7 linked regions of the Mus musculus genome follow. The protein of the gene in region 2 interacts with the protein of the main gene of each other region in a pairwise test. Links are inferred from orthologs where the notes say so. Each region holds a gene or a part of one and is shown on either strand. Other genes may lie near its edges.

Region 1 (4,300 bases), on a different chromosome or scaffold from region 2:
GTGAGCTACTCAGGATAGATGCTGTGAAACTGAACTCTGATCCTCTGCAAGAATGCTATGTGCTCTGAACTGTTGGGCCAGCTTTCCAGCCCCTGTTTTAAGACAGTTTATGTTATATATTCAGAGGTATGCCTAGTTATCCTCGGGAGTGAGTCAGGTAGACCTGAGAGTGTTTATGGCAGGCTGGCCAATTCAACTGTATTTACTACGGAGTGCCTCCTGAGGAGGAGAGGCGTTCCATTCGTTTTAGCTGACCACTTCAGATCGATCGCAGGCCATCACTGAGGGGAGTCAAGGCAGGAACCTAAGGCAGGCCTGCTTGCTATAGCACACAGCATTAACCTCCAATGGAGAGCTCACTTCACTGCCAATCAGGTATAGCAGGAACCACAGAGGACGCTGTTTGCCAGCTGGCTCGTAGATGGGCTTCAGCTCACTTAGCTTTCTTGGATAGTTCGAAACCTAGGTAATGGTGCCGCCCACAGTGGGCTGGGCCTTCGAAGGCCAGTTAACTGTCCAGACCTTTCTTACAGACGCGATACGGGCCAATCTGATCTAGGTAATCATGGACTAAAGCTCTCTGCTCACAGGACCCTAGGCTATGTCACACTGACAGGTAAAGCAAACTAGGATACCAACACAGTGCCTTTTTCAACCCTGTTACCCTACCCACTGCACTAAATCCTGACTCTGCTCATGTCTTTATCAACTTCAGCCGCATCCGCCCGTGCTTACCCGAAGGTTCCTGGTAAGAGGCAACTGCTCTGGCCCACCTTTCCAGCACCTGGTCTTTTTTCTAGGGCCACAGGCTCCTCCCTTCCAGCACGCACTCTCCCAGGCTTCTTCCCACTGCCCCATGCTCCACCCACAGTCAGGTCTCCGGCTGACTCCATGCAGTTCAGTTTTGTAGGTTTATTTTTGCCTCGGGGTCCAGAGGCGAGGTTATGACGGGCCTAACCCCTGACTGGCACTTCCTGTACCCACTGTCCTGTAGCAGGTGCTTTGCTGAAGCAGCCAAAGGGAAGGGATGGGGGAGGTGAGCCAGCTGCCAGGAGCTTGGCACAAGCCAAGGCTTGTGCCGTGCTCCTGGCCAGCCCCGTGCTGCCAGAGATTCGATTCTCAAGTCATTTTTAACAGCTGCTCCCACCCCCCCCGACCTGTCATCTGTCACTTTCCTTCGGCTTCACCGCGACTTGGTAGGAAGAAGTCCCTCTCTTGACCACCCCGCCTTTTACTCCCAGGGTCTGGGAAGCGCCCAGTCTTTCGGTCCCTGGCCACACTGCCCCATCACACTTCCCCTCCTTGGTTTCCTCCAAGTGAAAAGCAAAACTTTCTGCGCTGCGGTCTGGGAGCCGCGAGGGGCGGCGCGCGCGCGCTAGCGAGGGGCCGAGGCTGGAGAGGAAGCGGCGGTCCTGGGCAGGAGGAAGAAGCCAGCCCTCGGCTCGGCCCCCTGCCCGTTTCCCGCCGCCTCCGCGGCCGCCGCTACCACCATCACCACCACAGTCACCGCCGTCCGGGGCGCAGCCGGCCGCACGATGCAGGGCGGGGGTCCCCGGGGCGCTCCGATCCACAGTCCGAGCCACGGCGCAGGTAGGGCCCGGGGTTCTGGAGGAGGGCGAACGAGGCCTGCCGAGATCCGGGCGCACCCTGATGCAGGGGAGGGAAATCGAGGCAGTGAGCGGGGAGTGCAGGGTGCGGGCGGTCGTGTCCCCAGCTCCCACTGCAGCTCCCGTCCAAGCGCGTCCCCGTCCCGAGAGTCCGGCCGCCCTGAGGCGCAGTCGGCGAAGGGCGCGCCCGCACTCCTTCCTTGCGAGGTCCCGGTGGCCGCGAAGGTTTCCGCAGCGCCCAAGTGCAGCTCGATCCCAGGACTCCCTCGGGTGGCCGGCGCAGACGCTGCGGGGACGCGGGGCGAGGTTGAGAGAGGTGTGGGAACTGCAGCCCGCACCTCCCGTGGGGCTGCTCGCCGCCCACTTCCGAGTGTGGACTGTGACGCGCAGGGCAGCGCAGGCTGAGGGGACCCGCTCCATTTCCTCTGTCAGCTTGGGCCACGTACCAACCCCGGTGATGACATCGAGTTAAGTGGGTGGCCGCTTTTCAACCTCAGCAACTCACTGTCAGAAACCCCAAGAAAAGAACGTGATGGCACACGCCTCTTTTCCTAGCACTCGAGAGACAGGAAGACTGTGGAGACTTTCTAATACAATCTGGGCTACAATAGTGAGACTCTATCTCAAAAACCAAAATCAAATCAGAACAATGAAAAATAAAACAAGCACGGAGATCTGCTCCAGACTGGGCTTTGCAGTTTGGGCGTGTGCTGTGCCAAGGAGAGAAGGCAAAGGACTTAGGAGCTTCTTTTGGCTCTTGGAGCCTCAGTTTACCCATCTGTGAAAGGAGCACTAATCACTAGCTTCCCTACCTCCTTAACTGGCTTCTATGAAGACATTTTTGCAATTGGGAGTTGGAAAATACAGGGTTGGTAGGTGGGTGTAGGGTAAGAGTCTTCTGCACCCGCATCCTGGACTCGGGAATGCCTTAGTTTTTCAATTTGTAAAATGGAGCTGATTTTCCTGCCTACGTGGTAGATTTTAAAAGGGGTTTAATGTGGTAGGAGGACATGAAACCCCTGGCCAAATCTCTGCGATACAAAGCAAATTCTCAAAAATCTCTTAGTTGCCCAGGCTAGCCTTAAATCTGCTGCCTAGCCCAGGCTGGCCTCCAATTTGCTAGCCTTTGCCTCCCAAGTGCTGGGATTACAGGTGTGCTCCACTACGCACGGGTCCTTAAGTATTATTTTGACCATGCAAGACCTAAATAATCGTGGGCAATACAGGAATGCCAGTGTGACATGTTAGTGTCTGAGTTACAGGGTATTTGAAAAGACATTTGGCACCTGACATGGAGACCGTTGAGGTTTAGCCAGGATTCTGCCCACAGCAAATAGAGCCCTGGATGAGAAACCTGCTTTCTGAGCTGTCTCTCCAAGTCTCGGGCTTTCTCTTCTGTTTATAAGAAAGAGAAAGCACCTGGGCTGTAATTATTACCTTAGCCCTGAGAGTGCTGCCCTGGGATGGAGAGCAGAACATCTGGAACTGGGGCAGGTGACAGCCTACAGGCGACAGGTGCCACTTTGCAGAGAGTGCATGGGCCAGGCACTTGGTCCTGCCCTTTGATGAGGTCCCCCTCACACCGGTGAGGGGCTGGTGCTACCATCCTCATCTTCCCTTGGATGTGGCAAGGGTTGGAGTCACCTGCCTGTGGCCCTGGTGGTTAAACAGGGACTGGGGCTCAAAGTCAGATGCAGGTGTCTCCAATTACAGGCTGAAGGGAAGGTGTCAGGTGGAGCCCAGGCTGAGCGTGGACCTTTGCCTGGTCAAAGGTAATACCTGGTCTTCTGTTTCTGCCGTTTATACCTATCTTCATCTATCTATCTATCTATCTATCTATCTATCTATCTATCTATCTATCTATCTATCTATCTATCATCTATCTATCTATCTATCTATCTATCTTCTATCTATCAATCATCTATCTGTATATCTTCTGTCTCTATCATCTATCTTCAGCATCTATCAATCATCTATTACCTATCTATCATTTATCCATCAATCTGTCTGTCTATCTTCTATCAATTATCTACCTACCTATCTATCAATCATCTATCTATCTATCTATCTATGTATCTGTCTATGTATCTATCTATCTATCTATCATCTATCTATCTATCTATCATCTATCTATCATCTATCTATCATCTATCTATCTATCTATCTATCTATCATCTATCTATCTATCATCTACCTACCTATCTATCAATCATCTATCTGTATATCTTCTGTCTCTATCACCTATCTTCAGCATCTATCTATCAATCATTTATTACCTATCTATCATTTATCTATCAATCTGTCTATCTATCTTCTATCAATTATCTACCTACCTATCTATCAATCTATCAATCATCTATCTATCTATTTATCTATCTATCATCTATCCATCAACCTATCTGTCTGTCTATCTATCATCTATCAATTATCTACCTACCTACCTATCTATCAATCATCTATCTATCTATCTATCTATCATCTATCTATCTATCTATCTATCTTCTATCTATCAATCATCTATCTGTATATCTTCTGTCTCTATCATCTATCTTCAGCATCTATCAATCATCTATTACCTATCTATCATTTATCCATCAATCTGTCTGTCTATCTTCTATCAATTATCTACCTACCTATCTATCAATCATCTATCTATCTATCTATCTATGTATCTATCTATGTATCTATCTATC
Region 2 (3,500 bases):
AAGGTGCTTATGGACCAGCTGCAGGCTCTGCAGGTGCTATATGACACCAGTCAGAAACAGCAGGAGGTACTGCAGCGGGAGCATGGGCGGCTCATGGAGGAGCGGAAGAGGCTGCAGGCTGAGCTACAGCTCTGCATGGAAGAAATGCAGGTGCTCCAAACTCAGTCCCCCATGATAAAAAGGAGTTTTGAGTACTGCGGGAAGAACTCAGGCAGCAGGGCCCCCAGCACTGAGAACTTCCACAGGAGTTACGAGAGCTCCATTGATGAAAATGAGGGCTATCAGAAGAGTTATGTGAGCTCCCAGCCCAGCACTGAAACCTTCCTCAAGAGCTATGACAGTAGCACCAGTGCCAACGAGGCCTTTGAGAAGAGTTACTGCTCCAGCAGCACAAGTGTGAGCTATAAGAAGAGTTATGGCTCTGTCAGTAGTGGTGAGACCCTTCACAGGAGCTATGCCAGCAGCAGTACTGATGAGGACCCAGCTGAGCCTGAAGACTTGGAGGTAACCATTGCCAGGTTATTGGTCAGGCAGGGAAGGTGGGTTCCTCTGAAAGAAACAGCACCAGGGGAAGGGCATATGAATGAGATAGGAGCAGGGGCAGAGCAGGCTCGGAGTATGGAAGACTTCTGCTAGTGACTGTCCTGCTTCCTCTTACTCCTGACAGACGTGTCCTGGTTTGCACAAAGACCCCGAGGTTCAGGACTTTGAACATAGTCAGGATGTTCTTTATGGGAGGAAGTATGGTCCCCCCGCCCCACCCCCAGGCAGCTCCAGGAAAGGGCCAGAGGTGTAGAGTGTAGGACAGAGATCAAGGGCTTCTTGGGGTGCTGTCATCAATCCCCCACTCTCTGCAGCACTTTGAGGAAACAGTGGCCAAGGTGCTGACCAAGTTGCAGGCAGTGAAGGCCCTGTACCAAGTGAGCCAGGAAGAGCACTGCCAGCTGCAGCAACGGATGCACAGGCTGCTGGCCAAGCAGAAGGAGCTCACAGAGGAGCTGCAGTGCTGCGAGAAGGAGCTGAGGGAGTGCATGGAGAGCCTGGGGAAGCCCCTGCCTCCCCAGAGTGACAAGTGCGAGGTAACAGTTGCCAGTGCCAGAGAGCCACCTTAGAGAACGGGGCGTGGGGGTGAGGGGCCGGCAGTCTGCAGCATCTGATGGGCATTGTCAGGTGAAGGACCCTCCAGTGCTCACTGTCCTGTGACTTACTGGTAATTCCAGGCTACTTTCGTGACGATGCTCTCTCCCCTCGCTGCTTCTATTCTGTCTTTTACTTTGTACCCCAGAGCACTTGTATGGAGCTGTATTTTTTTTTTAACTTGCCAATATTTTTTCATTATTTTAAGTCCATTGTCTTTTTTCCCCAACTAGATTATATGCACTCTGAGGACAGGGCTCTGACCAGCCATGGTTCACCGTCCAATGGGAGAATCACTGTATGTGTGTTTGGGAGAGATAGAACATATGCAGAGAGTGATGGCCACACAGACCTATGCTGATTAGTACTTACTAAGTGAACCATGTGCTGCCATCAGCCCAGGAAGGCAAGCCTGAGATTAGGGGACAGGTTTAACTTCGTATGTTACCAGGACGGGGTTGCAGGTGCCACATGTACTACTACCAGGTGTTCTCAGCAGTTCCCTAGTAACTAACAAAGGAGTGGAGTGGGTGAAGTGGGAGTTCCTGGAAGGAAAATTAGATGATAATAATGCCTGAGCTTCAGAAGTGGCGGCAGGCACTCATGTAGTTATTCCCTTGACAGGTCACGATCAAAAAACATAACATCAATATTTTTAACTTAATAATAATTTTTATCATTCTAGATGCAGATCTTCAGGTATTTCAACTTGGGGTGGGGGAGCTATCTGTGAAGCCTCTTAGGTTTCATTGCCTACTTGAACTTCTTATTGTCCACTTCCTTGTGAGCTTTAGCAGGGAGATCTGTGAGAGAGTGGTTTCCTAAGAAAGTCCTGGGCTGACTGGGTGGGACTGCTGTGCTGTGGATAACTGGAGTCCCACTACCAACAGATCAAAGAACTGCAAACTAAGCTGCGGGAGCTGCAGCTGCAGTACCAGGCTAGCATGGATGAGCAGGGGCGGCTTCTGGCCGTGCAGGAGCAGCTGGAGGGGCAGCTGCAGTGCTGCCAGGAAGAACTCCGCCAGCTCAAAGAAAACAGGCCCTCTATTAGCTCAGAAGCCAGGGGCAAGAATGTCAATAAGAATATGAACAAGAATGCCAATGGAGTTAGAAATAAGAAGCTGAGCATGGCGTGCTCAGAGGATTTGGAGAACGGTTTTGAGAATGAAAAGGTGAGTTGGAGCCTTAGAAGCCAGAGAGGCCCCGGCGGGTGGAGGAGGCCCTGGGAAGAAACAAAGGCACTGTGAGGAGGTATACTTTTAGTACTGCTAATACAAGAGTTCCAACTATGTAAGCAATTGGCCACTTTCCTGGGTGCTTTGGGGAGAATGCCCACCAGTTGCTTTCACTAGCCTAAGTCCATCTCTGGGACCCCTGTTATTCCTGGGTTTCATGGTCAAAGCCCATCATTACACAATGAAAGATCAGCTAGATGGAGAGAGAGGGATTTATGTGTGCAAGAGGATTGGCTGTGGTAAGAATGACCAGAAAGGGAGGAAGCAGCCATTGAGGACCAAAGTCCAAGAGTCTTGGATTATGGTTATCCGCTTGAAATGGCCTCATGGTTAGATCTGATTGCTAGCTTAACAAACTAAGTGTGACTGTCCTCCACATTACTCTTGAAAAGATTAGTTTGTAGTTCCAAAATACAGTCTTGCACAATGGGACTCTGATGTGATATAAGTAGAGCTTTCTGGAGGTAATATAGCCCTGTCTGGAGGGTAAGATTCATTTAGGTAACAGCAGCCCCACCCTACCCTGCCTCCACCCTGCAGAATCTGGAGGTGATGCTATACTACAAGGCCAGCCAGAGGAGATTAGATGAGCTAATGAAAGAAGAAAAAGAGATCGAAGAGGCAAGAAAGAAAGAAAGAGAGAAAAAAGCCAAGAAAGACTTGTGTAAACTAGCTACTAATCCAGCAGCAGATCCTAGGGCAGAGCCTGAGCCGACAGAAGATGAGGAGGAAAACTTTGAAGAGTACAGAGAAGGGGAGGATGAATCTTGTGAGGCTGCCGAGGAAGGCAACCCCCTTAAGCTTTCTGAGAGCAAAAAGGTAACCACAGCAGAAGGCTAGACCAAGTGGGAATGAGCCTGGGGCTCGGGTGCTCTGGTGTTCAGGAGTGGCCCCACCGTGGATGCACCAATACAAGATAGAGGCCAGTGAACATCTGTTGGACAAGGGAATGGGGAAGGGATTGGAGAGGGCAGTCTTTCTGAAGAAAATGGCAGGCTTAAATTAAGTTGCTAGAGCCATTGTACAATGACTGCCTTTTCTCAGAACCAAGGTGGAGGTCATGTGTCCTTTCACTTACACTGTAGCACTCAGTCACCTGTCTGTATCAGCAATGTCCCCTCATCCCTC
Region 3 (3,986 bases), on a different chromosome or scaffold from region 2:
CAAAAAGATTATCAAAGTCTCCAGGAAGTGAGCTAGTAAAGGGAGAAATGAAAACAGGTTCCTGAACTCTAGGAAGCTCCACATGATGCCTACCATCCAGTAACCCAGAGAAGTGTAGTCCTTCAAGACAGCTTGTGACTAGGTGCTTCTGGCTGTCCTGGAACTCCCTATTCACACCAGGCTGGCCTTGAACACACAAAGATCCACATGCCCGAGTGCTGGGATTAAAGATGTGAGCTAGAGTGAAGAGTCTTGATAGAGGAAGTTGTAAATGTATGCATAGTGTATGGTGTAAGTGAGAAATAATAGTCTAGCAAAGTCAAACACCAAATATTCTAGTAAGAAACTAAGAACATTCCAGGTTCCTGGCCTAATATCAGTTAAATATACATACAAATGACAGCAATTCAGGAATAAAAACTCCATGAAACAGAGCTTCTCTCCATCCCAAGTTCAAGCACAAAATACTGTGACATTAAAACAAATTGCTTTGAAAAATTGTATATTGCCCATTAGAAGTCACCTTATTAAATTACACTTTTTAGTACATTTCTACAGAAGAGGCATGACTATAAACACACACTGAAGAGCTCACTACGTATAGCCTTTATTTCCTGTTATTTAAAGACTCAAGAAGTATGTTAAAGTGTTCACACTACATATAAAAGCTCAAAGCATTCCTGCCCTTGACCTACCTTCTCCCTAAAACAGGAGTGAAACTTGAGCCATCTGTAAAGACTTCATAGTCTAAAATCTTACTTATGTCAATTCTCATTTGGTCAAGTCAACACACTTTTTAAAAAATAAATTTAGGGCTGGGTGTAGTTCAGTGGTACACTTTGAGCACCGCAAAACGCTGAAAAGTAAAATTTCATACTTACCTATGTTGCCAGAGCACACAAGGCAAACAAAAGCAGATCAACTTTGATCGGTAAGACAACAATTTTCAGTACATAAACATGACACCCTGAAAGAAGAGCTAATGTCTGGGCAAGCTACTTTAGGGGGAGAGTAACATTCATTTAGTTTAAGATTACAGAATACCTGTTTTTCTAAATGCTTTTATCTCTACCTGTATTTTTAGTAAACTGGGTACTTTTTGGAGGGGTAAAAAAACTCAAAACTTCCCAAAGATCCATCGCTGAGATAAGTAAAGAAAGCCGATCAGGAGCCCTCCTGTTCTTCCTTTTCCCGCGGCTAGAAAAGAAGACACTTCGCAGACCCCAAACCCAGGCTCCAACACTTGGCAGTGAGACGTGAAAACTAGGACCGCTGCTCGGACTCCGCACTCACCTCCTGGATGCGCCTCCTGGCCCGCTGAAGCACCTCTTCATAGCCCTTCTGCCGCAGCTCGCTGAGGCTTTCGTAATACTCCTCCGGATCATCCGTCTCGGTGAAAAGAACCTGAGAAAGGATCTTCCAGCCACACGTGTCCAGGCCGTGGCCCAGGTATACCTGGAGTTGGTAACATAGAGCGTCGATCTCCTGCTCGGTCATCTCGGGGGCGCCCCCAAACAGCACCGTCCACATGCCTGACGGCTCTTCGGGGAACACCGGCAGACACGGCTCCAGCTGGGAGTTTACCGAGCACAGCTGCTGATGCACGGCTCGCAGATCCTGGAAGGAGAAAAGCCCGGCCCAGCTGCATTCTTCGGCCGGAGACTCCAGCTCCGCGGCAGACGGCGGCTGCTCCGAGTCCGGGAGCGGCTGTGGCGCCTCGTCCTCCCTCACCATTTCCAGGACCTCGATCTCCTCGGAGACCGCCCCGGAGGCACTCACCACCCGCACCGACGACACCGGGGGCACCGGGGGCGCCGGCGGGGCTGGCGTGGCACTGGCGGTCGCATCTCGGGATTCGGCGCTTCTGCGGAGCGGGCTGGCCTTAGCCCGCGCGGGGCTACGGAGAGGACTCTCCGGTCCTCTGCCCGCGGGACCCCGAGGAGGATCCCCCTTCAGGCTGCGCGCGCTGCGCGGAGAGCCGCCCTCGGCCCAGGCCTGGCTTTTCCGTGGCCCGGGACTCCGGAGCGCTGCTGTAGCAGAGGCAGCGGCCTCTGACCGACCCCTGGCCGCGGGGCTGCCCGGACCGCGACTCCCATCAGACGCGGGCGTCCCCGCCTGTTCCCGGGAACCGCTCCTCTGTCTCTGGGCCGTCCGGTTGTGACAGGTTATAGCAAACTTGCCTTCGATCTCGTTCCAGGCCACAATGAACACAAACTTGTGCTTCTCGCGCTCGTCGAATACGTGGGGCCGCACCGCCACCCAGTCGGACTCGAGTGTCTCCTCCAGCGCGAACGACATGGTAGCTCCGGTGCCCGGCGAGGGGGGTCGCCCGCCCGGCCGAGTCTCCGCGGTGGCCGCGCCCCCAGCTCACCCTTGCGGGGCGCCTGCAGCCATCTTAGCGCGCCGGCCGCTCACCCACCGGCTCCTTTGTGGTGCGGCTCTCAGAAGAGACAATACGCGGCCCGGAGCAGGTAGTTCACATGGTCACGTGCGGCCGGATCTGTTTACAAGCCGCTCGCTGCCGCAGCGCAGGGCCCTGGGCCGCCGGACCGGCCTGCGCGGAGCCGCGGGGCTGCGTGCTGAGGCGCGCGTCCGCCGCTCGCCCGCCGGGGCCTACCTCCCCGCCGCCCCTCTGCCCCCGGCCAACAGCGCCCAGCCAGCCAGAACCAGAACCAGAAAGCAGACTCCTAAAGCGCTAGTCTCAGCGTCGCCACAATGTTGCCATTCGGCTGTGACGTCTGCGGCTCCACGAGGGACGTAAACACGGGCACGTGCGGCACGCTGCTGACGCGGCGGCGGCAGCAGCGGCAACGGGAGCGGCGGCGCGCGTCCCGCCCGCCCGGCGGCGCCCCGCCCCCCTCCGCGTCCCTCCAGCCGCGCCTGCGCGCCGCCGCGTTCCTGGCCCCAGCCCTGCCCCCTTTTTCCCGGCCCGGAGTCTGTGGCTGCGGGATGACGCTTTTCTGCAAGATGAGAGACTGGTGTGCCCGGCCGCACAGGTTGCTTTGAACCCCCGGCAAGAGGAGCAAAGGCAGAGGGACTCTGAGACTTTGTTCAAGGACCTTGATGTAGCCCTCCTTCACCCTAAGTGAATCTGGATCGCCAACTGTGTTCAGACGCGTCCTAAACAGTCCGGGAACTCTGCCTTGCTTTACAAGGCTAAGCCAAAGGGTTCCATTCTCCCCTGACATCCTTCAGACACAATTTAAGTTAGACATGTATGCAAAACAACTCAGGAGAATACGAAAACAGTAGGAAAATTCAGTCACGTCCTAAAGAGCGTGAACATTTGTCTCAATTTATCCTTCTTTTATTGCTTCGGCTTTCCTCGTTGTGTACTGTTCTGAGAATCTCTTTGGGCAGTCACTGCACTAAAGTTTTGACATTGTATTCAGTTATCAGAGTTCCCAGAAAGCACAAACAAAAAGTTTTTATCAGCCTGGCAAGGCAGTGCATAACTATAATCCCAACACTTGGTGAGTAGAGGCAACCAGATATGGTAATTCAAGGCCAGCAGGGGCTACAAAAGACCTTGTTTCAAAAACCAGCCAGAAAAATCCAATTATTCATACTAAATTGTGTTGAAACATTCCTAATATTGTCTAGTAGGTTTATAATCCACTTTATATTATTGGCGTCATCTTTCCTGTCAGTGTCTAAGGCATCAAGCAGGCACTAATGTATAATAGGAATTAGTTCTTTTACTTTAAGCCACATTTCTAAAACGTGTGAAAATCATCTGAGTCACCCTCACGTTGTCAGCTACACACAGTTTTGTATTGGCCTGACATCTAAATTGATAGTCAAAAGTTTTAGACCTATCTCTTGGCTGAACTTTTTTTTTTGTTTTGGTTTTGGTTTTTTGGAGACAGGGTTTCTCTGTGTAGCCCTGGCTGTCCTGGAACTCACTTTGTAGACCAGGCTGGCCTCGGACTAAGATATCTGCCTGTCTCTGCCTCCCAAGTGCTGGGATTAAAGGCGTGTGCCAC
Region 4 (3,500 bases), on a different chromosome or scaffold from region 2:
CTGAGCCCCGAGTTGCCAGAGGCACAGGGGAAGGAGTAGAGATACAATCACTTTAAATCTCCAAGAGCTCGCCACCTATTGGACACACGGATAACTACAGGAGAGGAGAGGAGTCACTGCCCCAGGGAGGCGTGTTCAGGGATTAGATGTGAGGGAGACCATGCCAGCCCTTGGTTAATCTCCAACAGAGCCTCTCCCCTCATTCCAGCCCAGGCAAGCTGGAGCACTGAGGTATTAGATCATCTCTATCTCTGGACAAAAGACTCTACACTATTTTCTCCAAAGATACAAACCTATTCTCCAGATACCCTGAACTTAAGCTGCCGGCATCAGGGGAAGAGTCCTGCTACTCCTAATATCTCATGCCTGGACAGGAAGAGAACCATCCAGAGCAGGGATCGGGGTGGGAGGATGGCTCTCTCTCCACAGGTAACATGGTGATCACACTTCTACTGTGGCATCCAGCCCTGGATGGACCAGAGCCCACAGGGGAAGACCCTGACATTTTGGATGGGAGATCAGAGAATGAGAAGAACAGCAGACAGGGGGGGCTGAACCTCCTAGAGCACCTTTGGATCATTCCCACGTGTGTAGGTCTCTGAAGCACGGGCCAGCCCCTTCCCCATGGCTCTGAGCCATGGAGCCACCAAGTCATGCTTTGATCATCGTGGAAGATGATCTCTGCTGCTTGTCCGCCACCAATCGTCAGTCAGGTTGGGAGTTCTGTTCCTAGCCTGGCTCTTTGTAACACGGGGCTGTCTCCCCAGTCCCTCACTGGATCCCCAAGAGTAAACTCACCATGGTGTCTCGCCCTGGAGAACTGGAGCGGCTGGGCCCAGAGGCCTGGCCCTTGCTCTTCTCCCACAGTGTGTAACGGCCACTTGGTCGGTAGGTGGGACTGAGGACTTCAGGGACTCGGGAGGGAGGAGGGGCTTGCGTGAGCACCTGTGGTGCACTGCCCTTTCGACCATAGTTCTCCAGATAGTCTGTTAGGTACTCAGAACGGCTGGCTGCTTGGTAGAGGCCCTGCAGGGCACAGAGCTCCTTACGCGTGCGGGCCAGCATGGGGCTGCGACCCAGGTTTCCAGGGTCTATCCTAAAGCCCTCTGAGGTCCGGTAGCCATCTGAAGTCCGGTAGCCATCTGAAGTCCGGAGGCTGGAGAAATCCCGGGCCAGGTCTGATTGGCTGTTCGATTTCTTCTGGCTCAGGGTCACCCCCTGGTCTCTGGCATTCATGGGCAGGTAGCTGAGGGAGTTGCTGGAAACTCCATAAGAAAATCCACTGCCTCCGTTGAGTCCACTGCCCGAGGGCCTTTCATTGCCACGGGTCTGGCTCTCTGACCGCTTACTACTCCCAATGATGTCAGATCTCAGCAGGGGGCGGCCCCTGTCACAGTCCAGAATGGAGGAGGGGCCGTAGGTGCGGGGCCGTGGGAGGAAGCTGGTGGGGGAGACCGGCTTGAAACCAAGTTTTTCCTTCTCCAGGAAGGAGGCGGCCAGGTTGGCCCCATAGGAAGAAGGGGTGTAGGTGCCATAGCCCGGTTTGGCATAGGGGGCATCTGTGTAGCGGGACGATTCTGTATAGCGCTTCAGGGTGGAGGAGAGCTGGGACATCCTTCAGGGTGGTACTCAGTGGGTACTGGGAGCCTCATGGGCTGAAAGACAAGGAAAGCAGCTGTCAAGGGCTCTGCGAAGCACCAGGCCCATCCTGTGCTCATTCTTTATGCCAGCTGGGCCAGGACCTTAGGGCTCAACAGGGACCACTTGGGGCCTGCCTATAATAGGCTGGCTAGCTCCAGAGAAACACACATGCAAACAGGTATGTATATGGGTGGGTGTACCCATGTACCCACAAGAACAACCAGCAAAAGGCACAGCCTCTCCACTTCCCCAGCCCTCTACATCAGAGACTCCAGCTGAATCTCATGTGGGTCTTCTTGTAAGTCTCGGCAGGAACTTTTAGAGTTGGCAAGGGCTGGAGACTGGGGGATCCTACCACCCTCAGTGCATAGACTGGGGGACAATGAGCACTTTGAGTTATGAATGCTTCTCTGCCTTTGGCAAGCAGTTCTACCTTCAGGTATAAAATGCTCCCTCCACCCCCCGGAAATGTCTGGAAGACTGTGAGGAAGAGGAGGGTCTCAGGAAAGGAAGTGATGGCGGGAGATGGGAGGGAATGTCTAGCAGAAGGGCTGGACCCTGGTCTCCAGACCTCCCTTGGTACTCTTCCTTGGACACAGGTACCTGCTTGGTCACACAGGGGACCACACCAGGAACGCTGGTGAGGTAGAACCTGTCTATTCTCTTCCTGGAGTTTGGCTTTGTCTTCCCAGTGGAGCTTAGGAACCTACGGCCTCCTAGGAGGTTTCAGGACCCACGCAGGGGCCAAACTGATCCTGGAGTTACTTGACTTGTGCAAGAGGCGCCCCCTAGAGTCAAGATCCTGTACTGTAGACTGCAGACACTCCCAGACTTCAGGGTTTTGTAGATTAATCCCTGAATGTGGAGGTTGGATAGTCCTAAAGGCCATGTATTGATTAACCTATTGTACAGATACGGGCATGATGCCTGCTTGTCCAAGTTCACCTGCTCTGGAGAGTCAGGATTGGAACCCAGGTCGTGGCCCCGCACCCTTTCCCACCAGCCTTGCTTCTACCATTCCTCAGCAGAGTTGGGCAGCTCTGAAGACTCCTAGAACCCCTCCACCATGTGGCAAGAGGGGAGAAGGTGCTTTGGAGAAAGGGGCACAGAGGACCAGGCTCCTTTCTTCAGGGACTCTTAAGTGGGGGTGGGGTGGGGTGGGGCTCAGGGTGGGGTGGAGGTCTGGAGACCTATCCAGGAATCTCAAGAGTAGCATACGATTTAAAAAATCTCTCTCGGGCTGGAGAGATGGCTAAGCGGTTAAGAGCACTGACTGTTCTTCCAGAGGTCCTGAGTTCAATTCCCAGCAACCACATGGTGGCTGACAGCATCTGTAATGGGATCTGATGCCCTCTTCTGGTGTGTCTGAAGACAATGACAGTGTACTCATAAATAAAATAAATCTTAAAAAAATAAAATAAAAATCTCTCTCCTCCTCCATGTGTGCGTGTGCATGTGTGTGTGAACACCACACACACACACACACACACACACACACACACACACACACGACACAGACATGAAAGTCAGAGGATAACTGGTAGGAGTCAGCTCTATCTTTCCACCATGCATGTTTGGGGGTTTGCCTGTTGGTTAGGTTAGGTTTGGTGGCAAGTGATTTTACTTGCTGAGCCATCTCACTGGCCCCAGGGCTGGTTTTGACTCTCTCTGAGACAGACCAGTTGAGCAGTTACACTAGCCGTTGAACCTCTTTGAGCCCCGATTTCCTCCCTGTAAAGTTGCCTAATAACATCAGGATTCCTATCTCGCAGGGTTGTTGTGAGGACTGAGATAATAACACGGGAAAGCGCTTAACAATGACCGGCTATTATCTTCTCTCCTAGCCAGCCCAGCCAGGC
Region 5 (4,291 bases), on a different chromosome or scaffold from region 2:
AGTGGTGATGCTTCAGTTCCTCAGGGGAAGACTGGATGTTCTGAAAGATGGCACAACTCAGAACTCACAAGAGAGAAAAATGCCGTGTGCTGTCATATGCCTGTTGTCATCCTTGTGACAAGTCCCAGGCCAAGCAGGGCTACACAGTGAGACTTCACCTCAGAACAAACAATAACAAAAGGCCTATTGGCTTTTCAGTACTTCTTATGCTGAACATATTTTGCACACAGATCAAATCCAAGTGTTATTATTAATGCTCCTGTGATGAAACCAATCCTTTACTTCTGCACATAAACTCTTCTCAAAGTGGCCAAATGGACCCGAAACCATTTAAACTGGGAACACTTAGAAGTAAGGCTAAAGGGCCCCACTACACCCTTTAGGCATGTTATCAATATCTGTGATAGTTATTTTTGGTTGTCCATTTGACTACATCTGGATTTCACTAAAACCCAAAAATGGAAGAACACATACGTGAACAATTTTGCCTACTCTGAAGTGGGAAAACCCACTGCTTTGTGTTTTTAAGAGGATTTCTCAGTGTAGCCCTGGGTGTCTTGGAACTTGCTCTGTAGACCAGGCCTGCCTCTGCCTCCCCAGTGCTGGCAAGCTGGCTTGGTGGAAGATCCACTTTGAATTCACATCTTTGAGGAGGGAGAACACACCTTTGTTATTCAAACCTATTCTTGTTATTCAAAGTCAGAAGATGCACCTTCTGCTGGAAACTAAAAGAAAGACATGAAACAAGATTTTCCTCCCTGCCACCCCCAGGACAGGGCTTATCTGTGTAACCCCGCTTGTCCTGGAACTGACTCTGTAGACAACGCTGGCCTCAACTCATAGAGCTTCGCCTGCTTCTGCCTCCACTGCCAGCCTGCTTTTACTCTGCCTACTTGCTCTCACTCTCGTTGACAAGTCCGCTCCTTCACTGTCATTAGCGCCTACTTCTTTGGGATTCTGATGTATAATGAAGACCAACTGAGACATCCATTCTTGTTGACTGAATGCCTACTGGAATTTTGAACCTTCCATGTATACAGCCACATATATACTATTTTAAAAATAGAAATCCAGTATTAACGGAAAAATCTTGCTAAGCCCCCAGGCCTGTGCAATCTTATGCAGACACCTGGGTGGATCTCTAAATCCCTTCAGGTCTACTGACTCCCCAGGGTTCAAAACCCCACTCCTTAGCTTCTTACTCAGGGTGACACCTCACACTGCCACTAAGAGGCTCGCCAGAACACTGCCTCTAGACAAAGCCTAAACATGATCTGAGTGACCGGCGTCGCACCCGGTGGGCGTCACGTGACAGACTCGGCGTTCCTCCAATCGCTGTGCGAGGAGCGGGGATTCCATCTAGTACTTGGCCTCAGGTTTACAACGTCCTGCTCTTCCATTCCCCAAACGGGCCGGCTTTTTGCTACCAACCAGCTAGCAGTGATTCTCAAGTGTTTCCCTTTCAAACAGCTTCAAGGGGCTCGGGCCTATAGCGCACTCAGCTCCGGAAGTGACGTCTCCCAGAGGGGCCGGAAGTGGCAGTGGAGGGAGGGAAGATGGCGGAGGTGGTGAGTCCGGTGCCCGGGGCGGGGCGGAGGGAGCCAGGGGAGGTGGGTAGAGCCCGAGGCCCCCCAGTAGCCGACCCTGGCGCCGCGCTGTCTCCCCAGGGGGAGATAATCGAGGGCTGCCGCCTGCCCGTGCTGCGGCGCAACCAGGACAACGAAGATGAGTGGCGTGAGTGACGTCGGGGGGCGGGTCCAAGGAACCTGAGGGCGAGGGGCGGGAGGGAGTCAACGATCGCACGGGAGGGGGAGGGGCTTCTGCAATCCCGGGGCGGTCGCAGATACTCGGGAGGAGGGGCGTGGCTTTTGGACGTACGGAGATGATCCGGGCGGGGCTTGGAGAGAGGTGTCACTTGGTGACTAAAGGGGTCTTGAACCAGCCCCTCTGAGTGCTGGGACACAGGCCTCCAGCCTGGAGGTGGGATTCAGGTCGAAGGGTGGAGTCTCCTGACCTGCCCTGGCTAAGACTCCCTGTCTGTGTGGTTCTCATAGCCCTGGCTGAGATCCTGAGCGTGAAGGACATCAGTGGCCGAAAGCTTTTCTATGTCCATTACATTGACTGTGAGTCCTGGGCCTGGATGGAGTGGGGTTGCTGGAGAGGGTTGAGGGCAGCCTCTGGCATTCCCTCCTGAGCCGTTTTCACTGCTGCAGTCAACAAACGTCTGGATGAATGGGTGACTCACGAGCGGCTGGACTTAAAGAAGATCCAATTTCCCAAGAAAGAGGCCAAGACACCTACCAAGAACGGACTTCCTGGGTCCCGCCCCGGCTCTCCCGAAAGAGAGGTGGTGAGTAGGTCCCCCATTTCATCTTTTCTCTCCTGCCTCTTCCTTCTTGCATCTCTTGGCCTCAGGGGTTCCTGAATGGGCAGGAGGCAGCATTCTTCTGCCATGGCTTCAGCTTGCAAAGGATGGGGACCAAGTTGCAGGCGTAGCTTCCAGAGTCCAGCACTGCCTTGCTTTAGAGAAGGCAGAGGGTGGGATTCCATGCTGAGGGGCCCATCCCCCCCTTCGCCATCCCACCACCATCCCCACCCCAGAGGAAGACCCTGGACCTATCTCTGCAGCCGGCCTCCGCCCAGGCCAGCGGGAAGACCTTGCCAATCCCGGTCCAGATCACACTCCGCTTCAACCTGCCCAAGGAGCGGGAGGCCATCCCAGGTGGCGAGCCTGACCAGCCGCTCTCCTCCAGCTCCTGCCTGCAACCCAACCACCGCTCAACGGTACCCTCAGCAATTCCAGGGACCTTGCTTTCTTCTCAGGTCCCACCTTCTCTACCTTCTGACCCACCTTTCCTGGTTTCTCTCTGCAGAAACGGAAGGTGGAGGTGGTTTCACCAGCAACCCCAGTGCCCAGCGAGACAGCCCCAGCCTCGGTTTTCCCTCAGGTGAGTCTTCCAGTCTTTTTTCATGTGTCTGAATGTTTTGTCTGTGTTTTGCATGTGTTCTACTTGCATGCCTGGTGCAGGTGGGCAGAAGAGGGCATTGGAGCCACTGAAACTGGAGTTAGAGATGGTTGTGAGCCACTCTGTGGGTCCTGGGAAAAGAACCCAGGAAGTCCTCTGGAAGATCAGGGCTCTTAACCACTGAGCCATCCCAACAGCCTGCCTGGTCTTTCCCCTCTTATTCCTTGCTGTCTAGCATCCTCCTCCAGGATCATCTCACGGTCGCTCTTTCTCTTGTGTCTTGTCCACAGAATGGGTCAGCCCGTAGGGCAGTGGCAGCCCAGCCTGGACGGAAGCGGAAATCTAATTGCTTGGGCACTGATGAGGTGGGTCTTGAGGAGCAGAGGGAGAGGGAAGCCGGGAAAGGGGGAGTGGGCTTGGGCATGGTGTTCACTCGGTGAGGCCTTAGGCAGGGAGGGTGGTGGCTGGGAGCCAAGCAGATGAACCCCTGGGCCTCTTCTACTCTCAGTTTCTCAGCCTCGCTTTATTTTGGAAGTGGAGGTTGGTGCTTTGCCCTTAGCTGATGTTAGACTTGCAGGAAGAAGCCAATGGCAGTGTCGTGCGCCACGCTCTGCTTAACTGCTACCATCTAGTATTTGCCATCTGCCTTGGGCAGGATTCTCAGGACAGCTCAGATGGAATACCGTCAGCACCACGAATGACTGGCAGTCTGGTGTCTGACCGGAGCCACGACGACATTGTCACCCGGATGAAGAACATTGAGTGTATTGAGCTTGGCCGGCACCGCCTCAAGCCGTGGTACTTCTCCCCGTACCCACAAGAGCTTACCACGCTACCCGTCCTCTACCTGTGCGAATTTTGCCTCAAATATGGCCGTAGCCTCAAGTGTCTGCAACGCCACTTGGTATGAGGGGTCTTGGGAGGCTGCCTATCCAGAGTACCCTCACCAGTCCCCACCTGATCCTCCTTTTGTCCTTAGACCAAATGTGATCTTCGGCACCCTCCAGGCAATGAAATTTACCGCAAGGGCACCATCTCCTTTTTTGAGATTGATGGACGGAAAAACAAGGTTAGTGGCTTGGGCACGGCTGGGCTGGAGTGAGTCACATGAACAACCTTTTCCTGCTCAGAACAGTTGACCATTCTGCCTATGAGCAGGTCACTGTTTTTATTGAATTCTTGACACGGAGCAGGGAATGTACAGAAAACTGGGATTTAGAGAAATTTTCTTTCCTGAGAGGTCACTGTCACGGCAGAGCAGACATGACAGCTACTCAGGTTCCAGTAACAGAGGGGGTTCAGCACAGTTCACAGGAAGCTGTCAT
Region 6 (4,067 bases), on a different chromosome or scaffold from region 2:
GCCCAATAAGAAAATGGGGTTTAAAGGCTTATATACCCCTTCATATTATATCTTCATATGGGAGAAAGTATTGAGTCAAGATGGAGGCAATTTTAGGGAAGAATAAATGATTTACTGGGGGAGGGGGTGGTGAGATATAGACTCAGAAAGACAACAGACTGAGACAAAGTTTGTTTCGGCTTTGGGTGTTTGGTTTCCTCTTCTTGGTTGATGAAATAACATGGTAGAAGCCCACTATGTTCGCTTTTGGTAGAAGCAGCCTTTGTGTAAATAAAGAATTTTCAAAGAAGAGCTCTTTCCAGATTCTGCTGATTCCCCAGTGTCTGTAATCTAAAGCATCCCATGGTCTGAGGCATCATATTTTCTGGTATCTCCCATCTCAGCTCAGAACTCAATTGTAATTTATGATAATACAACATTAAACTTACACTAGGATTTACGAAAAAGGATAGGTATTTTTGAAACGTAATAACTGCCCACTAAGGACCCTTTTCTAACAAATTCCCCAAGTCAGAGTTTATACCTATTGACAGAAAAGCTTGACTGATAAAATCAGGGCTTAAAAAATATAGAGGAAATTTGACATGACTTTTATACTATCTTCTTATGCAAATGAAAAGAAGACACACTAAATCAAAAGTAATGGTGTATGTGGCTTGCCAGAAAGTCCATTAAAGAGTTCACTCAGCAAGTTTTGAGGTGATTTTTTTCCTGCCAGGGTATGTGCTACTTACTACTGGATCTCCTTATCCTGGTGTAGAACCAGCATAACAACATCAGTGTGTACTAAGCAGGCATCAGTGTGTACTAAGCAGTTCCTATCACACTGTTTTGCAAAGGAAGCAAATAGTTCACTGTTCTTAGCCTTCTGTTTGTCCTCTCTGAAGGAAAGCATTCTAAGTGAGGGTTTGTGATGGTTGTCAGCACTGGGGCCCAACAGAAGGCCTTGCATAGAAGCAAGCAAACTTGGTAATAAGCCAGCTGTGTTCCTAGCCATCTTTTTATGTTTATTTAAGACATGGTCTTGCTAAGTTGTCCAGGTTGGGATGAAGCTCTCTCTGTAGCTTGGGCTGGGCTTGAAGTTGTGATTGCTTTGCTCCCATCTCCTAAATTGGCTGGAAATGCAAGCTTTAAAGATTTTAGTAATGTGACTTTAAAATTCTGATTCTGACCTCTTAAAAGAAAAAATATGTTCATATTATGTGTGGTGTTTGGTGTGTCTTTGAAACTTTTGTGCATTAAAGGTTAACTGATTATTTTATTGCAGCCCAGCGAAGAACCATTAAGAACTCACAGCAAGATTGAAGATGAGAAGAAATCCTGCTTAAGCCTCAGGCACGCCATTCACTATGGAAACAGACATCACCCAAAGCAACATGAGCATTGTCATCTGAAGTGGAAGCTAAGAGGTTCATCTTGGACAGCGTTGGGATATTTTTTCCTATGTACTTCTGAAGGTTTGCAAGAAAAGTTTTTAGAAATTATTCCTCCGTAGAAAGCATTTCCTTCCTGAAGGTAGCACAGAGGAGCCTCTACAGAAGCAAAAGACAGCCTTAGGGAGAGGACATGAGGGAAACTTATAGATTGCAAATTCTCCTTACAGGACAAGTTTATAACAAACGAAAAGAATTCCAGTAGACGTGAGGGACGACATGGCTGTTATCTCAAAGTTTCCCAATTTAGCATTCCGGGGACAGTTCCTTTCTGGCATTTTGCTGGTTAAGTGGGGTCTGTGATACCCTTAATTTGACCTCTATTCAAAACTGTTTAATGAGAAAGCCAGCAAATCATGAAGAAGTTAGTCAGACGTAACAATGTTTTCCTAAGTCACATTTCACAGAGGGCACTGGATGCCATTAAGAGACAATAGTAGGCAGAATAGATGTGGAAACAGGAGGCAGACAGGATTCTTCTTTTAGAAGGGAAAGATTTAGTAAGTTGGGTAGGGCTTTTGATTGACGGTCATCACAGGTCTCTGCATGTGTCACTGTGGTGTGTAACACTCATCCTGACAACTATAGAAATTTCTTTATAGGTTTCTTGAAGAGATTTGTTTTAGGTCATTGTTTTTTGCCTTATCAACCTTTTTTTGTGGTACAGTTTTGCCTTTTGGAAAAGCATGTGAGAAACAGTATGGTTTTTGATGGATGTTCAGAATTCGAATGACTTATTAGATAAGGCTGGGGCATTTTTCTTTTAAAAACTGATAAGGACGTGTACAGAGATAGATATTCAATAGTTAAGACTATATAAAATGTAACATGAAACTAGCTCCACAACTTCAGAATCACTATTCTACCTTCATAGATGTTCAATGGGATATATAGACATTAGATCTTCTTAACTTCAGGGTGTTTTTTTAAATTAAAAATATTTTACAAGTTATTAAAAATAAATTGAAAACAAGATGATATCAAAATATATTTGGCTATGTAGGAATGAAGTATTATTTTGGATAAAGCTCTATTTTATGTAATTAATTTAATTAGTCACCATGGGGTGTTTTTCTAACACTGATCACTGATATGCAATACTTTTATAAAAAGCAATTTTACCTTAAAATTTAAACAGCCAAATTAACACATCAGGAATGAGAGATTCTTAGAATTGCTTAAATCGACAATAAAGGATTTATTTAGAAGAGTTTTCTTAATTATTGAACTAGTAAGATAGTCTACACAACAAATATGGTAATGTAATTTCTTAGTTTTCCAAGTGTGGGATACAGTGAGACTATAAAAGATACTAGTGAGTTAGTGAAAATTCACACAATGACAAAAATGCAGAGCATAATTATTTCCAATGCAGCGATGTTTCCTGAAGTCTTAAATAATATATCAACATATATTAACTTCAACTTCTCATGTTTAATGATGTTTACGATTAATATGGTACAGTATTCCCTAATTTGAGATTAGCAGTTGTAATTAACTCAGAATAGATTCTTTGAAGTGGTTCAAAGGGCTTTTTGTAATAAATTATTAGCCTCTAATCAGCTAATATGAAGTGAGTAGTTTTGGGGGATGTGAGAAGTACACTAAAACCTCATAAAACATTTAATTTAAGTTAATGAAATAAATTTGTATGGTACGGAGTCTCTATATGGAAACAGAATGACTGACATTCCAGAGGAGGCTTTATTTAGACCAAGTTGAGATATCTTTGGGATAAAGGCTTTAGGCCGGTGCTATCTTAGGTGTTATAGCTGAGTAGATTTCTAGAATTGTCAAGTCCCTTTAAAACAATTTTTAAAATTAATTGATTAATTGATTTAAAATTCATTAGTAGAAGATAAAAAAAAACCATTTTGTCTTGGGTTTCCTATGCTATCCTAAGAATGTTGATTTTAAGTTTGTAAAGTTGAGCTTTGACTTAGGAGAGAGTTTTCACTTGTGAGGCTGGGCCTGGCAGACCCTGAGGCTCCTGGGTGTTCACTGACACACCATTGAGATAAGGAGTGACATGAGCCAGGGATAAAGTCTGGCAAGCCTTTGCTTCCAGTGCCCCAGAGACTTGGTAGCTCACGGGTGTGGTAGTTCCTGAGAAGACACAGTTTGAAAGCATTAATATCTTCATAGGGTAAAGATGAAGGTACCTGTATCCGGGGATGTAAAAGAGGAAACTGAGGAGGAAAATGTGGAGCAGGAAGAAAACCAGGAAGCCAAGGTGAGCAAGAAAGAACTCACTTAAGCACAGAACTCTGTCCTTTAACAGATAAGGGAAAATCAGACCTTCTCCCTCCCTCTTTCTTTTTAATTTTCACATAGGTGTCTCTGAAACCTGTTATTGAAGACCTCAGCATGGAACTGGCCAGAAAGTGCACCGAGCTCATTAGTGACGTAAGTGGCTTTAAAGACTTTTATCTTATTTGCTTCCTTTACGTGGAATGGCTGTGTTGTAGAGTCATGGGGCTGGAGAGAAAACTCCCGAGGTTACCAGTTAGAGCACTGTCATTTTCTAGATCATAGAACTAAGTCCAGACATGTTAGGTGATTTCACCAAGGTCATATAGACAGTGATTGTCTAATGGAATAATTGTCCTCATTCCTAATCCAGATTCTGTCTCT
Region 7 (3,428 bases), on a different chromosome or scaffold from region 2:
ACTAGACAACTTTAGAAGTGAATTATTTATGAGGTTGTCTTAAAATTAAAAATTACAAAGTAATAAATCACATTGTAATGTATTTTGTGTGATACCCAGAGGTTTAAGGCAACCTATTACTCTTATGCTCCTGAAGTCCACAATTCACAGTCCTGAACTATAATCTTATCTTTGTGATTGCTGAGCAAATTTGCAGTATAATTTCAGTGCTTTTAAATTTTGTCCTGCTTACTATTTTCCTTTTTTATTTGGGTTTGATATGCGTGCACAGAATGGGGCTTCTATTAAAATATTCCATGGCTTACATTTTTAATATTTTGTTCTCTTAATATGTTCAAAGCTACTCAACTTTTATTCCCGAAAAATGTTTACTTTAATTATTCTAATTTCTTACATAAAGCATTGAGGTGCTAACAATTATATACTATGTACAAGATGGCAGACTAAATCATATCATACCATCAAGTAGAAACCTGGAGTTTGGTGAACTTTGAGTTGTTTATATGTCTCTCCTTTATTGTCTTCTCAAAACCTGTGATTCTGAAGTCAAAGGGACACAGCTGTCACATGAAAAGTGATCACTTATCACCTGTATGCATAAAACACCTTACCAAGCAGCTAAGAGGAATAACTCCTAGCCACTTTGAGAAACGTTTTTGAATAAACAGAGCAAGGCTCTTCCCCATTCTCCCAGAGATATAGCATAAAACTGAGCGCATTTTTATAAAACAAAAAAGGAGGAATGTGTGGTTTGATGGCCAGACCCTGAATTTGTGTTCAGCATCTGCTTTTCCATATTATAGATGGGTACCAGTGATTCTGAGCCATGTCTATTTCTCCTGACTTTTCCTCTGTTTTCCCACGCTTGCTGATATTTACAGCCGTGGTCATCACAATCACCTTTGTTCCTTTCTTCCTTCCTCCAACTCTGCATTAAATTCCAGGAACTTGCTTTCTGTGAAGTCTAGAATCTGTCTTGAAGCAAACTCACACTCATGGGGTGGCTTAACTTGCCTTGGAAAGGGATATTGGGAGGTCACTGTGTTGTTATGTTACAGAGTCTTAACTTGCTGTTTAAATCAAATACAGTGTCAGAATGCTCCCTTCTGATGAACGTAAAAGGTATGTGATCTGACTTCTATAAGTGATTGTATTTGGATCAAAGACATTAAAGTTACAGATGTTAATTCTTACAAAGGTTGCATCTAATAACCCTGGCAAGTAGTTCAACAAATGTCTGCTGTTTGTATTGCAACTCTTGCAGCCAATAGCTGCTGGGAGTGATTTAATGCAGCTGGAGACTAGCACTAACAATCATTATAGCCTGAAAAGTGTGCACCAAGTTCACTGTACTTTTTTTTTCTCTTCAGTCGAAGGACTGATTAATGATCATCAGAATGTACTTGATTTTTTTTTTCTTCCATTGTATTGTGATTGAAGAATTAGTTGGAAGGTGACGTGAACTTTTGGGCAGGCCAGTACTGTTTAACGGGGGAAGAAGTTGCTAAGGATTCACTTTAGCTGTGAGCAATCGTTTCATCTGAGACTGCCAGGCTTCATCTGCACCCCCAACCCCACCTGACTTATTTTTTAAAAAAGAAACACCTTGTGGAGTAGTGATAGCACAGATGTGGCTGGTTTTGAGAATCAAGGAAGAAGGGAAAGGAACTGGGATGAAGGCAGCAATCTTCAGCCATGCTCCCAAACTTCCCTGGCTGTTCCTACTCATTTCTCCCTAGTGTCTCATGTGACTGTCCCATCTGAGGGTGTAATGCCTTCGCCTCTAAGCCTGTGTCGCTACCTCCCTCGTGAGCTGTCGCCATCGGTGGACTCGCGGTCCTGCAGCATTCCTTTGGTGGCCCCGAGGAAGGCAGGGAAGCTCTTCCTGGGGACCACTCCTCCTCGGGCTCCCGGACTGCCACGCCGGCTGGCCTGGTTCTCCATAGACTGGGAACAGGTATGTCTGATGCATAGGCTGGGCTCTGGAGGGTTTGGCTCGGTGTATAAAGCCACTTACCACGGTGTTCCTGTGGCCATCAAGCAAGTAAACAAGTGCACCAAGGACCTACGTGCATCCCAGCGGAGTTTCTGGGCTGAACTGAACATTGCAAGACTACGCCACGACAACATAGTTCGGGTTGTGGCTGCCAGCACGCGCACGCCCGAAGACTCCAACAGCCTAGGTACCATAATCATGGAGTTTGGGGGCAACGTGACTCTACACCAAGTCATCTACGGTGCCACCCGCTCACCGGAGCCTCTCAGCTGCAGAGAACAACTGAGTTTGGGGAAGTGCCTCAAGTATTCCCTAGATGTTGTTAACGGCCTGCTTTTTCTCCACTCACAAAGCATTTTGCACTTGGACCTGAAGCCAGCGAACATTTTGATCAGTGAGCAAGACGTTTGTAAGATCAGTGACTTCGGCTGCTCCCAGAAGCTGCAGGATCTGCGGTGCCGGCAGGCGTCCCCTCACCACATAGGGGGCACGTACACGCACCAAGCTCCGGAGATCCTGAAAGGAGAGATTGCCACGCCCAAAGCTGACATCTACTCTTTTGGAATCACCCTGTGGCAGATGACCACCAGGGAGGTGCCTTACTCCGGCGAACCTCAGTACGTGCAGTATGCAGTGGTTGCCTACAATCTGCGCCCCTCACTGGCAGGGGCGGTGTTCACCGCCTCCCTGACTGGAAAGACACTGCAGAACATCATCCAGAGCTGCTGGGAGGCCCGCGCCCTGCAGAGGCCGGGTGCAGAACTGCTCCAAAGGGACCTCAAGGCTTTCCGAGGGGCACTAGGCTGACTCCATCGAGCCGATGTAGAGATAAGCTTTTTGTCTCTGTTTATTTTTTTAAAGAAGTAAGGATGGTGTGGAAGAAAACATACCACTAGGGCATATTTTTAGGAAATAAAGTTACCACGAACTTCAGCCTGAAGTGCTTTTCCTAAGCATAACGGGGCCACAGATCTCATGGGCATCGCTGCTGGTAAACTAAGCCGTTTTGGGGTTCCTGGCCCTACTGTATCATTTCTGTAGTAAGGTTTGTTCCTGGATGAAAAAAAGAATGGGGGTGATGGTGGGAGGAGAGGACATCCCTGCTCCTAGGTATGAAGAACAAAGTTTATCGTGAATAAAAGGGAGACATAGGACATGGACCTGACTCTGAGCCATGTGAGAAGAGGTAGGAGGGGAAGGGAGAAGGAAGAGAGGAGAATCAGGTGTAGCAGCCCAAAAGAGGAGAAGTAACTAAATGGATTATACAGGGAAGGACAGCTGGGGAAGAAGGGCATGCCAGCCAGGACCACCCTGTACTGATAGGGATTGAGGGATGCAGGGAGAACCTGGCACCAGGTCCACTTTGTTGTGTTAAATAGGCACTTCAGCCATTTGTCCTGGGGTTGAAAACTTAGTTACTGGTAAAGAACAT

Evidence for each region.
Region 1: the proteins of Ccdc136 (region 2) and Disc1 interact in a two-hybrid assay, tested with the Homo sapiens proteins (2 studies listed by BioGRID and IntAct). The link is inferred for Mus musculus from reciprocal best matches to the Homo sapiens genes CCDC136 and DISC1.
Region 3: the proteins of Ccdc136 (region 2) and Jmy interact in binary tests that used the Homo sapiens proteins (3 or more experiments, as listed by UniProt). The two-hybrid records come from large-scale screens. The link is inferred for Mus musculus from reciprocal best matches to the Homo sapiens genes CCDC136 and JMY.
Region 4: the proteins of Ccdc136 (region 2) and Usp2 interact in binary tests that used the Homo sapiens proteins (3 or more experiments, as listed by UniProt). The two-hybrid records come from large-scale screens. The link is inferred for Mus musculus from reciprocal best matches to the Homo sapiens genes CCDC136 and USP2.
Region 5: the proteins of Ccdc136 (region 2) and Kat5 interact in binary tests that used the Homo sapiens proteins (3 or more experiments, as listed by UniProt). The two-hybrid records come from large-scale screens. The link is inferred for Mus musculus from reciprocal best matches to the Homo sapiens genes CCDC136 and KAT5.
Region 6: the proteins of Ccdc136 (region 2) and Nebl interact in a two-hybrid assay, tested with the Homo sapiens proteins (2 studies listed by BioGRID and IntAct). The two-hybrid records come from large-scale screens. The link is inferred for Mus musculus from reciprocal best matches to the Homo sapiens genes CCDC136 and NEBL.
Region 7: the proteins of Ccdc136 (region 2) and Mos interact in binary tests that used the Homo sapiens proteins (3 or more experiments, as listed by UniProt). The two-hybrid records come from large-scale screens. The link is inferred for Mus musculus from reciprocal best matches to the Homo sapiens genes CCDC136 and MOS.

Annotation. Positions count from the first base shown.
Region 1 is NC_000074.6:125,052,695-125,056,994, forward strand, and holds the start of Disc1 (disrupted in schizophrenia 1 homolog), read left to right. Parts: upstream 1-1,500; 5' UTR 1,501-1,535; coding exon 1,536-1,590; intron 1,591-4,300. UniProt on the Homo sapiens protein: Involved in the regulation of multiple aspects of embryonic and adult neurogenesis. Required for neural progenitor proliferation in the ventrical/subventrical zone during embryonic brain development and in the adult dentate gyrus of the hippocampus.
Region 2 is NC_000072.6:29,417,075-29,420,574, forward strand, and holds part of Ccdc136 (coiled-coil domain-containing protein 136), read left to right. Parts: coding exon 1-504; intron 505-857; coding exon 858-1,079; intron 1,080-2,027; coding exon 2,028-2,309; intron 2,310-2,912; coding exon 2,913-3,191; exon of another isoform or gene 3,192-3,500. UniProt on the Homo sapiens protein: May play a role in acrosome formation in spermatogenesis and in fertilization.
Region 3 is NC_000079.6:93,497,009-93,500,994, forward strand, and holds the start of Jmy (junction-mediating and -regulatory protein), read right to left. Parts: upstream 2,801-3,986; 5' UTR 2,299-2,800; coding exon 1,294-2,298; intron 1-1,293. UniProt on the Homo sapiens protein: Acts both as a nuclear p53/TP53-cofactor and a cytoplasmic regulator of actin dynamics depending on conditions. In nucleus, acts as a cofactor that increases p53/TP53 response via its interaction with p300/EP300.
Region 4 is NC_000075.6:44,073,521-44,077,020, reverse strand, and holds part of Usp2 (ubiquitin carboxyl-terminal hydrolase 2), read right to left. Parts: intron 1,656-3,500; 5' UTR 1,615-1,655; coding exon 799-1,614; intron 1-798. UniProt on the Homo sapiens protein: Hydrolase that deubiquitinates polyubiquitinated target proteins such as MDM2, MDM4 and CCND1. Isoform 1 and isoform 4 possess both ubiquitin-specific peptidase and isopeptidase activities.
Region 5 is NC_000085.6:5,607,295-5,611,585, reverse strand, and holds the start of Kat5 (histone acetyltransferase KAT5), read left to right. Parts: upstream 1-1,491; 5' UTR 1,492-1,556; coding exon 1,557-1,568; coding exon of another isoform or gene 1,569-1,667; coding exon 1,668-1,734; intron 1,735-1,841; exon of another isoform or gene 1,842-2,054; coding exon 2,055-2,123; intron 2,124-2,213; coding exon 2,214-2,350; intron 2,351-2,601; coding exon of another isoform or gene 2,602-2,628; coding exon 2,629-2,784; intron 2,785-2,873; coding exon 2,874-2,948; intron 2,949-3,256; coding exon 3,257-3,331; intron 3,332-3,621; coding exon 3,622-3,870; intron 3,871-3,945; coding exon 3,946-4,035; intron 4,036-4,291. UniProt on the Homo sapiens protein: Catalytic subunit of the NuA4 histone acetyltransferase complex, a multiprotein complex involved in transcriptional activation of select genes principally by acetylation of nucleosomal histones H2A and H4.
Region 6 is NC_000068.7:17,460,057-17,464,123, reverse strand, and holds the start of Nebl (nebulette), read left to right. Parts: upstream 1-1,267; 5' UTR 1,268-1,457; intron 1,458-3,578; 5' UTR 3,579-3,585; coding exon 3,586-3,666; intron 3,667-3,767; coding exon 3,768-3,839; intron 3,840-4,067. UniProt on the Homo sapiens protein: Binds to actin and plays an important role in the assembly of the Z-disk. May functionally link sarcomeric actin to the desmin intermediate filaments in the heart muscle sarcomeres.
Region 7 is NC_000070.6:3,870,158-3,873,585, reverse strand, and holds Mos (proto-oncogene serine/threonine-protein kinase mos), read left to right. Parts: upstream 1-1,480; 5' UTR 1,481-1,771; coding exon 1,772-2,803; 3' UTR 2,804-2,928; downstream 2,929-3,428.